2 linked regions of the Stegostoma tigrinum genome follow. The protein of the gene in region 1 purifies or fractionates together with the protein of each later gene. This does not show direct contact. Links are inferred from orthologs where the notes say so. Each region holds a gene or a part of one and is shown on either strand. Other genes may lie near its edges.

Region 1 (7,791 bases):
TTGAAAATGACAGAAGAGAAGCAAATATGTCAGAACACCAAGACTTTTGCATTCTAACCAATTTATATTTTTCACCCAGAATTGAGGTTGGGAGGTCATATTGAGGCTGGAGAGGACATTGTTTAGGCCAGTTTTGGAATATTACGTCTAATTCTGGTAATAGGAACCATGTTGTGAAACTTGAAAGGGTTCAGAAAGAATGTACAAGGATGTAGCCAAATGCGGAGGGTTTGAGCTGTAGGGAGTCAATAGGCTGGGGCTTTTTTGCGCGGAGTGTCGGAGGCTGACGGGTGACTTTATAGAGGTTTATAAAATCATGAGGGACATGGACAGTGTAAACAGCCAAGGTCTTTTCCCAGGGTGGGGGGAGTCCAAAACTAGAGAGCATCGATTTAAGGTAAGGGGGAAAGATTTGAAAGGGACCTAATGGGCAGCTTTTTTGCAGAACGTGGTGCCGTGTATGGAATGAGCTGCCAGAGGAAGTGATGGACGCTGGTACGATTACAACATACAAAAGACAACTGGATGGGTACATGAATAGGATGGGTTTAGAGGGATGTGGGGCAAATGGGACTAGGTTAATTTAGAATAGCTGGTTGGCTTGGACATGTCAGACCGAAGGGTCTGTTTCCATGTTAAACGTCTCTATGACTCTATAAGCGCTCAGAGGACCACAGAGCCACCATAATACGTAGATGCACGTCTATTCCTGCTTGTTCACCCCAGCAGAGCGGGAGCGTGTGAAATCTCAGTGTTGTAGCCAGTGAAGCTATTTGCTCTACTGCAACATTGCTCATTCCTTACCTCCACAACCACTGAAACCCATCCCACTCCTCCAAACTGCCTCGGCATTCTGGTTAGAAACCTTAATTTCATCCCACCTTATGTTCCGACTTCAATCATCCCCGTCCTTTCACTTCTTAATACGCTGCATTCAAAACCTATACTGTTAAGTCCTTCCAAAACTTCGATATTCCTCCATTCCGGAACCTCCTACAACCCTATATGCATGCAGTCATCCCTCACTTTTCGGACTCCGCTCTGAATTGCATGTGCTCTGATCTACCCTGGGCTTGCAGAGATTTCAAATGTTTTGATTATTCTGAAATGTTTTCCATGTCTAGGCCTGGTTATCTCCTGGCCCATTTTCAAAATGATCCTTTAAGATCTTCACTGTCGTTCTTTTTCGCTTTTACCTTTCGGATAGTTTCTTTCTCCTGTTAAAAGGCTGTACAAAGATGCAACCCTTGTGAGAAGATATCAATTCCAATTACGCCAGAAACAGGACGACACTAAACGACAAGTGGCTCCACAGCTACTGTATATTGACAAAGTTTTTAAAAATTGCATGCACTTCGTGGAATAAATAGAATATATTGGGTTTGTCGATGGTGAGCGGCTGAAGCGAAAAATATTTGCTGATGACATTCTGAGACTCGGTTTTAAAGGCATGCTATTTGTAAGAGGGTCATTCATTCCAAAAGGAGAGAAAGAACATTCTTGTCGTTTTTTGCTTGGATTTCGTTTGGGTCCCCTGCCACTATGTGTAGCACGATGCACGGGGGTGTGGGTGTGGGGTGAGGCTCCGGGATTTCCGTGCACCACAGTAACCAGGGCCCGGCAGCAAGGGAGGAGCCGGAGAGGTGCAGCCAATGGTACGGTGAAGCAGGCAGCTCTCGCCACCCCCACCCCAAAACCAACACCAAACACACATTCTCAAAAGTTTGTACACCAAACTTGGGATCACCCGAACAATCGCTGCATTGTCCTGGGCAAAAAGTCCCAGTAATTAAAACTAAGATTCCAACCACCGCAAGACTTTTTTTAAATAAAAAGATAAAGAAAAACCTATCACATTTTCTCAGAAAACAACCTGCTTCTTTGGTTAAAGGGCCGGCAGTCGAACGGGTAATAAAGCTCTGATTCCTTTCACTGGGGACAACTCGGGGCTGTAATGTAACGCTGTGATCAGATTCCCTGGAGCAGGGAACGGAGTCGACAACACTGCCCTAAATATCAGTGATCCCTGAAACTACCGCTGACCGAGTAGACACACTGCTCAATCCAAACAACCCCCGTGCCCTTTTAAGTCAGCACAGTGTGGGGCTGGAGGAACACAGCAGGTCGGGTAGCATCAGGCAAGTAGGAGAGTCGACGTTTCGGGTAGGGACCCTTCTTCAGAAACCCTCACTTTATAGATTCCAAACAGGATTGCCCTAAATTGAAAAGCTTTGGAATCAGCACTAAAAGAAAAGGGGGGTGGAGGGGTGGCGTGCTGGCATAAACCAGTGGAGGTTGCAGAGCGGAGAAACAGCGGGGTGGCCATGGGGATGACCACCCCCCGGGCGGTCGTTATGTTCCTCCCGGTGGGGAGGGCGCACGTGACCTTCCTGCACCAGCCGCTGCGAACAGGTCGCGCGGCTGCAGCGAGTACCCGAACACTTCGCACAAAGTCCAAAACAAAAGTTCGCTCAAGCCGTTTTGGAATCACTGCAGCCGAAGTGTGCAAGAGATCTCCCGCGTTAAAGCGTAACAACACAGAGGAATTTTCCCGACCGTTCTTCCACTTTGGCAATAGCGATTTCTTCACCTAATAATAAATCCAGTCTACAAATACTTACATTTTTTGATCTCTCGGCGTGAGCTGCCTGTGCATAGCAAGAGAAAACCCAAACAAGCTTGACGGCTTTCCGGTTTTCTTAATGAAATTTTCGGTATCCAAGTTAAAAGCTAAAGTCCATTTGTTGAGGGAAAACAAGGACAAGTAGATAAGAAACCATTGCTCCAGGGCCGCCATATCGGAAATGCCTCCTGATCTGTCGGAAAGTGCTTGCTAATGTTTTGTCTGATCTCGGGCTGTTATTTCTGAGTGGCTGCCTTGTGTTGAAGATGAGATTATAAAGTGACGGTGAACGCCTGGCCTCGCCTCACTCCGCCCCTCCCAGCCACCATCAGCAGCTCGCCGCAAGTAACCTGACCCCAGCCTGGAGCGTTTGTCTCTTCACCCCTCCCCTCCCCTCCCACCCCACCTCAGTTCAACCTCGGTCTCTGCCGTCTACTGCAGGCGCTGCTCAAACTTGTCTCAGTTCAGCAGAAACGAGCTCTCAAACGGTCTGCTTTACAGGTATTTCAAAAGCACGAACCAGCAGTCCAGTCTGCCAGCTATCATAGAGATCATGCCTTTGGAAGTTTTAACTGTTTTACTTTGCAATTTTCATAGAGGCAACTGCAGTCAGTATTTATTGTGGAAACCATTGGATTATTATTGACTACTTTGTAGCAATGTATACAAGTCTGTGACCTGCCGATCTAATTGTTGCAAACAGAATACTAAACGCAAGATAATAAAATGTGAGGCTGGATGAACACAGCAGGCCAAGCAGCATCTCAGGAGCACAAAAGCTGACGTTTCGGGCCTAGACCCTTCATCAGATGGGCCTAGACCCTCTGATGAAGGGTCTAGGCCCGAAACGTCAGCTTTTGTGCTCCTGAGATGCTGCTTGGCCTGCTGTGTTCATCCAGCCTCACTTTATTATCTTGGAATTCTCCAGCATCTGCAGTTCCTATTATCTCAGAATACTAAACGCATTAATGCACAAGTAATGAATATTCATTGAACTTTTCAAGTACAGCCACAATGGGTGGGTAATGGAACAGATGTGGGGGAGGGGCGAGATACAAATGGGAAAGGCCGGGCAGCATCAGAGGAGCGGGAAAGTTGACGTTTCGGGTCGGGACCGTTCTTCAGAATATTTTCTTCATTTTTCTGAAGGAGGTTCCCGCCCCCAAACGTCAACTTTCCAGCTCGTCTGATGCTGCCCGGCCTGCTGTGTTCCTCCAGCTCCACACTGTTGTCTGTGACTCCATATATCTGCAGTTCTTGCCATCTCATACGAAAACGGAATACTTTTTTTAAAATTTCGCAACCTCAGAACTTTAAAGTGTGATACAACCACCTTGCATTGAAATGTAGTCCTTGTAATGTAGGAAATGTGGCAGTCAAGCTCTGCGGAGAATAATGGCAAGATAATCCTTTTGTAATGTTGACTCCACGATAATGTATCGCCAGGAGAGGAAGGATGAATACCCTGCTCTCCTATGAAATAGTGTCAAGGATATTTTACGTTCAGTTTTGAAAGCCAGCTATGTTTTGATTTAATGTCTCATCCAAAAGTTAGCAGCTGTGTCAATCAACACCGATCCATTAGTGTACTGGAGTACAAAACCTAGATTCTGAGCTTAAATCTCCAGAGTGAGAACTGAAATCTCAATCTTGTAATTTCGGTGAAACTTTCATCCATCCAGTCAGCCATAATGGAATGAGCAGCACCAAACAAAACAAGTATGCCTTGATATTTTCCTGCTTGGTTTTTGGACTCTACCTAGAATGGTTTGATCTGTCGCATTTGGTGGTGGCCCACTGTTTTCGATTTAAATTCTCAAAACAATATTTGATATATGACGAATATGTGCACCGTGTAGAGGCCGGTCCTTGGATTATTGTTTGCTGATATTTTATCCAAAGTTGTTTCTTTGGCAGTTTTTCAAATGGTAATTTGCTATTGTCTTCCACTCTGAGGGCAGGTCAAGGAGGCAGATCCCAGCACTACCTCAACCAGAACAAGAATCGATGCAGGGAGAGAACAAGGTGTAGAGCTGGATGAACATAGCAGGCCGAGCAGCATCACAGAAGCAGGAAAGCTGACGTTTCGGGCCTAGACCCTTCTTCAGAAATGGGGGAGGGGAAGAGGATTCTGAAATAAATAGGGAGAGAGGGGGAGGGGGATAGAAGATGGATAAAGGAAAAGATAGGTGGAGAGGAGACAGACAGGTCAAAGAGGTGGGGATGGAGCCAGTAAAGGTGAGTATAGGTGGGGAGGTAGGGAGGGGATAGGTTAGTCGAGGAGGACGGACAGGTCAAGGTAGGAGATGGAGGTGGGAGGACAGGATAGGCAGGGACAAGCTGGGCTAGTTTTGGGATGCAGTTGGGAGAGGGGAGATTTTCAAGCTGGTGAAGTCCACATCAATACTGTTGGGCTGCAGGGTTCCCGAGCGGAATATGAGATGTTGTTCCTGCAACCTTCGGGTGGCATCGTTGTGGCATGGCAGGAGGGCCAGGATGGACATGTCGTTTAAGGAATGGGAGGGAGCGTTAACATAGTTCGTGACTGGGAGATGCAGTTGTTTGTTGCGAACCGAGCGTAGGTGTTCCGCAAAGTGGTCCCAAGCCTCTGCTTGGTTTCCCCAATGTAGCGGAGGCCACGTCTGGAACAGCAGATACCGTATACCGCATTAGCAGATGTGCAAGTGAACATCAGCTTGATGTGGAAGGCCTTCTTGGGGCCTGGGATGGGGGTGAGGGGGGAGGTGTAGGGGCAGGTGTAGCACTTCCTGCTGTTGCAGGGAAAAATGCTGGGTGTTGTGGTTCTGGAGGGGAGTGTGGAGCAGACAAGGGAGTCACAGATAGTGGTCCCGCGAGAAAGCAGATAAGGGTGGGGAGGGAAAAATGTCTTTGGTGGTGGGGTCAGATTGCAGATGGCGGAAGTGTCAGAGGATGATGTGTTGGATCAACTAGCACCTCGACAACTGAGCTAGTCAGTCCCTTAGTTAAAAATATAAATATTAGTGACGTGAGAGGTGGTGCAGTGAAACTGTCATTAGGCGATTAATCCAGGACCCCTGGCTAATATTCTGAGGATTGAATGAGTTTGAATGTCACCTAAGCAGATTGTGAAATTTGAATTCAATAAAGTTTGGAACTAGGAAATTGACTTAATGACATTCACATAACCATTGTTGTAAAAATCCATCTGGTTCAATAATGTCCTTTAAATGAAATTTACCATCCGTACATTGGACTTTTCAAAAATTCATTCACCGGATGTGGGTGTCACTGATTAGGCCAACTTTTACTGCCCTCCGAAATAGCCTCCCATGACACTTAGTTGTATCATTGCTAAAAATTCGAAAGAAACAAATGAAACCGGATAGACCACCTAGGCACCAGAAATGACATAAGCAAACACAGCAGTGTCAACCTTGCAAAGCCCTCTTTAATAACATCAGGGAGCTATACTAAAATTTGGACAATTGTCCCATGAACAAGCACACAATTATATTTGGCAGATAATGTCCCAAACAACACCATCACAACCTCTGACCCATCTCATGTGGCAGCACTGTGGTACACAGTTTGGAAGGAGTAACCCTGGGAGTCCTCAAAATTCATTGTAGACTTTATGAAATCTCTTGGTATCAGTTCAAAGATGGGCAAGGAAATCTACTGCTCACTAGCACCTACCTCCCCATACCTCCTCTACTGAGGCAAATGAATCAGTACTCATCAATGTAGAATGAAACACTGAGAATAGCAAAAGTACGGAATGTACTCTTGTGTGGAGGATGTCAATGTTCATCGCCAAGGGTGGCTCATTAGTATCATTAAGCGGATTGTGTCCTAAAGGACATAGCTGCTAGCCTGGGTCTGCAACAGCTGGTATTGAAACCAACAAGAGGAAACAACGTATGCTCTTATGGATGTGTCCATCCATGAAGATCAGTAAGAGTAGTCCCACAAGCAAATTGAAAGAAAATCTCTGCACAGTTCGCATGAAGAAAAAGTCTACCCTTCACAGTGAAGATACCATGCATCCTACTGTGTGGCACTACCACTGTGCTAAATAGGGTGGACTATGAACACAGCTATCAACTCTAAATTGGACAAATTTGAGGTAATGTGCATTCAGCAGCTGCAAATTATTTTCAATGATAGTCTATAATTTCATGGTCCAGCATATCCCTCATTACTTCCACCATCAATCGGGGAAATCAATGAAGAGTGTTGGATAGCATGCCAGAAGTGGCATCACACATCCCTAAAAATGAGGTATGACCTGAAGAAGCTGTAGCACAGGACAACTTGCAGGCCAAACAGTAAAAGCAAGTAATAAGCAATAGATAGAGCTGAGTGATCTCCCAACCAACTGATCAGATTTAAGCTAAAGAGTCCTGTCACACCCAGTCATGAATAGTGGTTGGTAATTTAAAACTCACTGGAGTAGGAGGTTATCCCTATTGCAAATTATTGGGGGGACCACAGCATATTGGTGCAAAAGGCAACGCTGAAGTATTTGTTTTCGCCTACAGCCATAAGTGCCAAATGGTGATCATAAATGCCAGTCTTCAGCCTATTCAATTCCGTATATCATAAGAAATAGCAGATGGCACTGGATACGAGTCCTGAAAATATTCCAGCAATAACATTAAACATTTGTATTCCAGCACTAACAATCTCCCATTGAAGCTGCTCCAGTACAACTGCACCAGTGACATTGATCCAGCAGTGTGGAAAATTGCCTAGGTATGTCCTGTTCCCAAAACACAGGCAAACCCAACCCCATCAATTACTGCCCATCAGCCCACTGTCACTGATCAGCAAAGTGATGGAAGGGGTCATTGAGAGTGTCATCAAAATAGCATTTGCAGAAGGAATAACCTGCTCACTGACAGTTTAGGTTCTGCCAGCGTCACTCATCCCCTGATACCCTTGGTCCAAATATTGACAAAAGCGCTGTACTCCAAAGATGAGGTGAAACTGATTGCCCTTGACATCAGAGCAACAAATATGGCACAAGGCCCCTAGCAAAATCGGGGTCAGTGGGAATCAGGGGGGTAACTCTCTGCTGGTCGAATTTATACCTAACGCAAAGGAAATTGATTGTGGTTTTTGAAAGTTAATTAACTCAACCTTTTGATTTAATTACAGGAGATCCTCGCAGTTGTGTCCTAAAC
Region 2 (7,133 bases), on another chromosome or scaffold:
TTTTTTAATATTTTGGTCATCTTTTGATGACTTTTAAACATTTCACAATTCTCTGTCTAATCTTTGCAACATCTATGTTTTTATTTTTTTTCTTTAAATTTGATACTAAATCTCACTTAATTAAATTACATTTTCATCTCAGACCTTTCAAAGGTTCACCTGAAACAGCAGGTAGATTGGGGAGAGACTCACATTGCCTCCTCTTTGCAGAACACCTCCGCTCAGTTCGCAACAAACAACTGCACCTCCCAGTCGCAAACCATTTCCACTCCCCCTCCCATTCTGTAGATGACATGTCCATCATGGGCCTCCTGCAGTGCCACAATGATGCCACCCGAAGGTTGCAGGAGCAGCAACTCACATTCCGCCTGGGAACCCTGCAGCCTAATGGTATCAATGTGGATTTCACCAGTTTCAAAATCTCCCCTTCCCCTACTGCATCCCTAAACCAGCCCAGTTCGTCCCCTCCCCCCACTGCACCACACAACCAGCCCAGCTCTTCCCCCCCACCCACTGCATCCCAAAACCAGTCCAACCTGTCTCTGCCTCCCTAACCGGTTCTTCCTCTCACCCATCCCTTCCTCCCACCCCAAGCCGCACCCCCATCTACCTACTAACCTCATCCCACCTCCTTGACCTGTCCGTCTTCCCTGGACTGACCTATCCCCTCCCTACCTCCCCACCTATACTCTCTCCACCTATCTTCTTTACTCTCCATCTTCGGTCCGCCTCCCCCTCTCTCCCTATTTATTCCAGTTCCCTCTCCCCATCCCCCTCTCTGATGAAGGGTCTAGGCCGAAACGTCAGCTTTTGTGCTCCTGAGATGCTGCTTGGCCTGTTGTGTTCATCCAGCCTCACATTTTATTATCCCTGTAAGTGCTCTCACTTTTTATACTCTGGCTTTCTCAAAGAACAAAGAACAGTACAGTACAGCAGCAGGCCCTTTGGCCCATCAAGACTGCACTGTTACATGATGTGTTTCCAAATTAAAAACCTTTTGCCTCTATGGTGTCTATATCCCTCTATTCCCTGCCTATTCATATATCTGTCAAGATACCACTTAAACATTACTATTGTATCCACCTCCAACAACTCCTCCAGCAGCACATTCCAAGGAGCTACCACTCTCTGTGTAAAATTAAACTTGCCTCTTACATCCCCTTTAAAGTTACCCCTCTTTACCTTAAATCTCGGTTCCCTAGTGATTGACATTTCTACCCTGGGAGAAAGACTCCAACTATCCATGCCCTTGGTAAGTTGGTAAACGTCTTTCAGCCCACTAATCCTTTGATGTTCAAGTGATAACTAACCAAGTTTCTCCAATCTCCCGTCATCTATACCCCTCAATCCTGGTAAACCCTGTTTCTGTACCCTCTCCAAATCCTCCACTTCTGGTGGTTCAGTGGTTAACACTGATGTCTCACAGCATCAGGGTCCTGGGTTTGATTCCACCCTCGGGCGACTGTCAGTGTGGAGTTTGAACATTCTCCTTGCATTTGCGTTGGTTTCCTCTGGGTGCTCCAGTTTCCTCCCACAATGTGCAGGTTAGGTGGATTGGCCATGCTAAATTGCCTGTAGTGTTCAGGGATGTGCAGATTAGGTGCATTATGGGGGAATGGGTCTGAGTGGGATGCTCTGAGGGTCAGTGTGGACTTGTTGGGTTGAAGAGCCTGTTTCCACACTGTAGGGATTCTGTGAAAATTCTATCTATCCTTCTGCAGCAACCAGAACTGTACACAATATTCCAAATGTGGCTGAACTAAAGCTCTGTACAGCTACAACATGACTTGCCAATTTTTATACTCTATGCCCTGACTGATGAAGGCAAGCATGCCAGATGCCTTATTGACCACTTTATCCACTTGTGTTTCCTCTTTCACGGTCCTGTGAACCTGTACACCTAATCCCTCTGTACATTGATCCTACTAAGCGTTCTGTCATTTACTGTATAACAATATATAGTTACATCCTGCTCGCTTTTGCCCCTCACTCACTCCCACCCCTCCCTCCTTTTCTTCTCCTGCTCTCCTCTTCTTCCCATCTTCCCTATCTTTTCTCCCTCTGGCTCCCTTCCAGTCTCTCCTCCTCCCTCACCGCCCAGACTTCCCCTGCTACACACTTTTATCTTTCCTTTCTCCTCTCCTCTTCCTCCTGTCTCCATTCTCTCTCTCCCTTTTCCTTCCCTCTTCTCCCCAGCCCTCTTCTCTCTTTCTTTCCTCATCCCTTCCTCTTTTCACTGGAAAATGTATTCTGTTTGTGAAACATCATTTCCCTAGCCCACCCACTGGTCTCCTCAGAGTGAAGGACAATAATGGTCCTCTCACAAATTGGGTTTTGATCTGTACTGGGCTTGTAACAAAGCTGCCTGCATCTCCCTCCCACAGCCTGTGCGTTCCAGCTAGACTCAATCATACAACAACACAGCTCACACTGAAACATGGTTTTGTTGTCCCCATGGGCAGGGAAAGTTCTTTCTCTCTTTTTGCTCCTTCTCAAAATGCAACCCCTGGTAGCAGCAATTCATCTATCATTTCTATCACATTTCAAACTGCAGTCCTTGCCCCCCACCCCTGCCTCCTGTGATACCTCCCTTAACCACTTAGCTAATATTTCCCCACCCATTGATTTTAGACACTGGAGAACAATAGTCAGAAATTCCCGGGTGGTGAGTAAGAATCTGGAATAATTCCCGAAAGTCTAACAGTTTAAATCCTTCAGGCTACAGCCTGTGGAATTGAGAATGGAAACAGAGTCAGTCATGCTAGGGGCTATTTTCCCTGTAGTGTTGGAGGCTGAGCAGGGACCTTATAGAGTTTTATAAAATCATGAGGAGCATGGACAAGGTGAATAGCCAAGGTCTTTTCCCCCAGGGTAGGGGAGTCCAAAACAAAAGGACATGGATTTAAGGTGAGAGGGAAAAGATTTAAAAGGGGCCTGAGTGGTAGCTTTTTCATGAGGAGGGTGGTGCATGTATGGAATGAACTGCCAGAGGACGTGGTGGAGGCTGGTACAATGACAACATTGAAAAGGCATCTGGATGGGTATATGAATAGGAAGGGTTTAGAGGGTGATAACAAGCTTTAGAGCTGGATGAACACAGCAGGCCAAGCAGCAACAGAGGAGCAGGAAAGCATAGTTGACGGTACTCTCTGGATGGTATGAAGTTAAATACAGTGACTGTCCAAAGAGACTTGGGGATTCAGGTGCATGGATCTTAAAATGTCATGAACAGACAATAATCAAGAAAGCAAATGGAACACTGGCCTTTATATCGAGATGACTGGGACCAGCATAATGATTTGTGGGCCAAAGGGCCTGTTTGTACGCTGTATAGCTCTGTGACTGGAGTACAAGGCTGTAGTTTTACAAAAACCTGGATAGACCCCCTCCCTTGGGGTATTGTGAGCAAACACGGGCACCACATCTTAGGAGGGAGAGATAGTCCTTGGAGGGGGTACAATGTCATCGAGGGCCGAAGGGCCTGTACTGTGCTGTAGTGTTCTATCTTCTAATGTAGGTTCACAAGAAACACACCTGGGCTTCAGGGGTTAAGTTATGAGGAGAAGTTATGCAAATTGGGCATGTTTTCTCTGCTATTTAGAAGGATAAAAGGGTGATATGATTGAAGTCTTCAAGATATTAACTGAAAAGGACAGGGGAGATAAAGGCAAACTCTTTCCATTGGCTGGTGATTCGAGAACTGGGGACATAGTCTGAGAATTAGGGCCAGACCTTTCAGGAGAGATGTCAGGAAGCACTTCTACGCTAAACGGGTGGGAGAGATTTGGAACTCTTCTTCCAGATCAGATTTTATTGGCTGATGATTTTAAATTTATTGGTAGATAAAATCTAAAATTTTACATCTGTGATAGATGAAGTTTCGTTAACCAAAGGGATATGGGCCGAAGTCAGGTATATAGAGTGAGGCCATGTATCGGCTATGATCTCATTGAATGGCAGAACAGGCCTCCTCCTGTTCCTATGTTACTATATTGTCACACAGCTGCTGGGAAGAGGTTGCCGTGTACAGACTGGCTCTTGTGCTTCTTACAACAGTGATGACATTTCCAAAACCCACCCATGGCTCTCAAGTATTTTGCTATGTCCAACACACTTGTAAGAAGTGCAAACGCTGTCTCCTTTCCAACTGGACTATACACTTCTGCCAGATCCGGGGAGGGTCATTGAGTCATACAGCATAGGAGAGGCCCTTCAGCCCTTCATGTCTGCATCAACCTATCTTTGCTATTCCCACTTTCCGGCACTAGGTCCACAGCCTTGAACAGTATGACATTTCAAATGCTCATCCGAGGACTTTTTAAAGGTAGGCAAACGGGAAGCTGGGAGAACACAGCAGGCCAGCCAGCGTCTGGAGGAAAAGTGCTGCCAAGGTTTTGGGTATTACCCTTCTTCAGGACTGGATATGGGGGGGGAGGGGGAGCTGCAGATAAATGGGGGGGCTTTAACAGATTGGTGGTGATAGGTGGACACTGGTGGCAGGTATGACCTGGTTGGTTGATGGGAGGGTTGAATGCAGTTGATGGCTGGAAGAGAGGGTCAGTAGGCGGAATGGAAGGGTCTGGAAAGGGAGGTGGGGGGGTGGCTGGGAATGTTATTTGAATTTGGAGAACTCAATGTTGAGTCCTACAGGCTGTAGGGTGCCCAGGCAGAAGATAAGGTGTTGTTCTTCAAATTTGTGTTCTTGTTCGCTGCGACACTGGAAAAGGCTGAGGATGGACATGTTGGAGGGGGGTGGTGGGTGGGGGGGTGCAGTGGTGGGGTTTGAAATGGGAGATGACTAGGAGGTTAGGTTGGCTGTTACGGGCCGGGCGAAGATGTTCGGCGAAACAGTTATGTAGTCTACGTTTGGTCACACTGACGTAAAGAAGACCACATTGGCATCATCAGAAGTAATAGACTAGGTTGGAGAAGATGCAGGTGAAGTTCTGTCTCACTTGAAGGACTGTTCACAGCCCTGAATATAGGTGAGGGAGGTGGTGTGTGGGCAGATATTGTATCTTTTATGGTTAGAGGGAAAGATACTGGGTGGGTCGGAGTGGTTGGTAGGGAGTGTGGCATGAGCTAAGGAGTGGCAAAGGGAATGGTCCTTGCAGAAGGCAGAGACGGGTGGGGAGTGGGAGATGTTCCTGGCGGTGGGGTCTAATTGGAATTGGCGCAAGTGTTTGAGGATGATACGTTAGATGCAGATGCTGGTGGATTGGAAAGTGAGGACAAGGAGGGTGCTATCTTTATTATGTTTTGTTGGTGGGTGGTTAAGAGCTGTGGAGCAGAGAATGGAAAGGGCACGGTGGAGGGCCGTCTGAATGACAGAAGTGGGAAAAGAGCATTGTTTGGAAAAGGCAGACATTCAGGATGCTTGGGAGTGGAACATTTTCTTATCAGACCAGATGTAATGGAGGCGGAGGAATTGGGAAAATGGAATTGGGTTTTTGCAGGATACAAGGTGGGAGGAGGTGTAGTCTAGGTAGCTATGGGAATATGTGGATTTACAGTAAGTGTCAGTCCGTAAACTGTCACCAGAAATGGAAATGGACAGGTCACAAAAACGGAGGGGGGTGTCTGAGATAGACCAAGTGAATTTGAGGTCGGTGTGGAAGTTGTTAGTGAAGTTTATAACCTGTTCCAGTTCAGCCTGGGTGCAGGACGCAGCACTAACGTAGTCATCGAGGTAATGGCGGAAGAGTTCGGGAACAATATTAGTATATGTTCTAATGAGCGTCTGTTTGACATAACCTACAAACAGGCAGGCATAGCTGGGTTTTTAAAGGTTGTGAGGTTTCTGCGTCAACTACCCTCCTGGGCAGTACATTCCAGATCCCTTCCACCTTCTGGGTGAAAATATTTTTATTTACAATCCTGTCTAAACCTCCTGCTTTTCACTTTAAACTTATGCCCCCTTTATTGACCCTTCAACTAAGGGGAACAGCTGCTTTCTGTACACCCTGTCCTTGCTCCACATAAACTTATACACTCCAATCAGGTTCCCTCTTAACCTTCTCTGCTCTAAAGAAAACAGCTTGAACTTATCCAACCTCTCTTATCATTGTCTCCCCACCTTCTCATTTATATTGTTTATATATTAATTAAAATCAAGCTGGCTGATAGCAGGGTGTGGGACATTGTAAAGTCAGATTCCATGAGTCTATGTCCGCTGACTGGCCTGTGGGACAGCTCTGCTAATTCAGCTACAGGGTCCCCCCCTCTCAGGGTCAGTTTGGAGGCCTCTGAGGGCTGTATTCTTTGCTCAGTCCAGAGGCTGGCAGCTATTTCTGTGGCACTCCTATGCAACCACTTGGCTCTCTAGGCCTGTTCAGATGGCAACCATAAGGAGGGCTGGCTTCTTACTTTAAAGTACAATAATAAACCTGAAGCTGTGTGTGTTTTTCACTGTGATCTCTCTCTGTGTATTTACTAGGTGTCCCGGGGTTGGCTTACTGTGTTTCTGTAGGTGCTAGATGAATGCAGTTACATTAGGATTGTAGTGTGGTGTCTCTATTTCACTCTGCGTGTATCCACTTAGGCACTAGGGAATGTGGTTATGTTAGTACTGCCCTGTGGTCTCCCTCTCTGTGTCTATGCACTAGGTGTGCTGGGATTGGCCTGACAGTGCTGTGTTTCACTCGGTGCTAGATGAATGCAGTTACATTAGTACAGTACATGGTGTCTCTCTTTCTCTCTGTCTCCATATCCACTAGATGTCATATGAATGCAGTTACAGTAGCATTGCCCTGTGCTCTCCCTCTGTGTGTGAATGCTCTGGGTGTCCTGGGGGCTAGCCTGACATTGCTGGGTTTCTCTCGGTGCTATATGAATGCAGCTACATGAGTATTGTACTGTGGTGCTCTCTGTTTCCACTAGGTGGTAGGGGAACGCAGTGACACTGGCACAACCCCGTGTGTGGGTGGCCCTGGGGCCAGGCTGGGTTGCTCCGGGATGAGGCAGGGCTCAGTTTGAGACGGGGCGGGTTTATCGATGCTTTGTCATTTTCGGCGAGTGCAGTTGAAGCGAAGTGAGTCGGAGGGCAGCCCCCGGAGCTGGGCACAGCCGCTGGGACAGTGAGAGGGTGTGTGTGTGTGTGTGAGAGAGAAACAGAAACAGCGAGCAGAGGCTAC

The links.
Region 2: the proteins of integrin alpha-6-like (region 1) and CD151 antigen purify together in Homo sapiens (co-immunoprecipitation; 3 studies listed by BioGRID and IntAct, with this or other methods). This does not show direct contact. The link is inferred for Stegostoma tigrinum from reciprocal best matches to the Homo sapiens genes ITGA6 and CD151.

What each region holds. Positions count from the first base shown.
Region 1 is NC_081360.1:49,272,729-49,280,519, forward strand, and holds the start of integrin alpha-6-like, read right to left. Parts: upstream 3,003-7,791; 5' UTR 2,798-3,002; coding exon 2,622-2,797; intron 1-2,621. UniProt on the Homo sapiens protein: Integrin alpha-6/beta-1 (ITGA6:ITGB1) is a receptor for laminin on platelets. Integrin alpha-6/beta-1 (ITGA6:ITGB1) is present in oocytes and is involved in sperm-egg fusion.
Region 2 is NC_081370.1:8,979,652-8,986,784, forward strand, and holds the start of CD151 antigen, read left to right. Parts: upstream 1-4,131; 5' UTR 4,132-4,324; intron 4,325-6,900; exon of another isoform or gene 6,901-7,133. UniProt on the Homo sapiens protein: Structural component of specialized membrane microdomains known as tetraspanin-enriched microdomains (TERMs), which act as platforms for receptor clustering and signaling.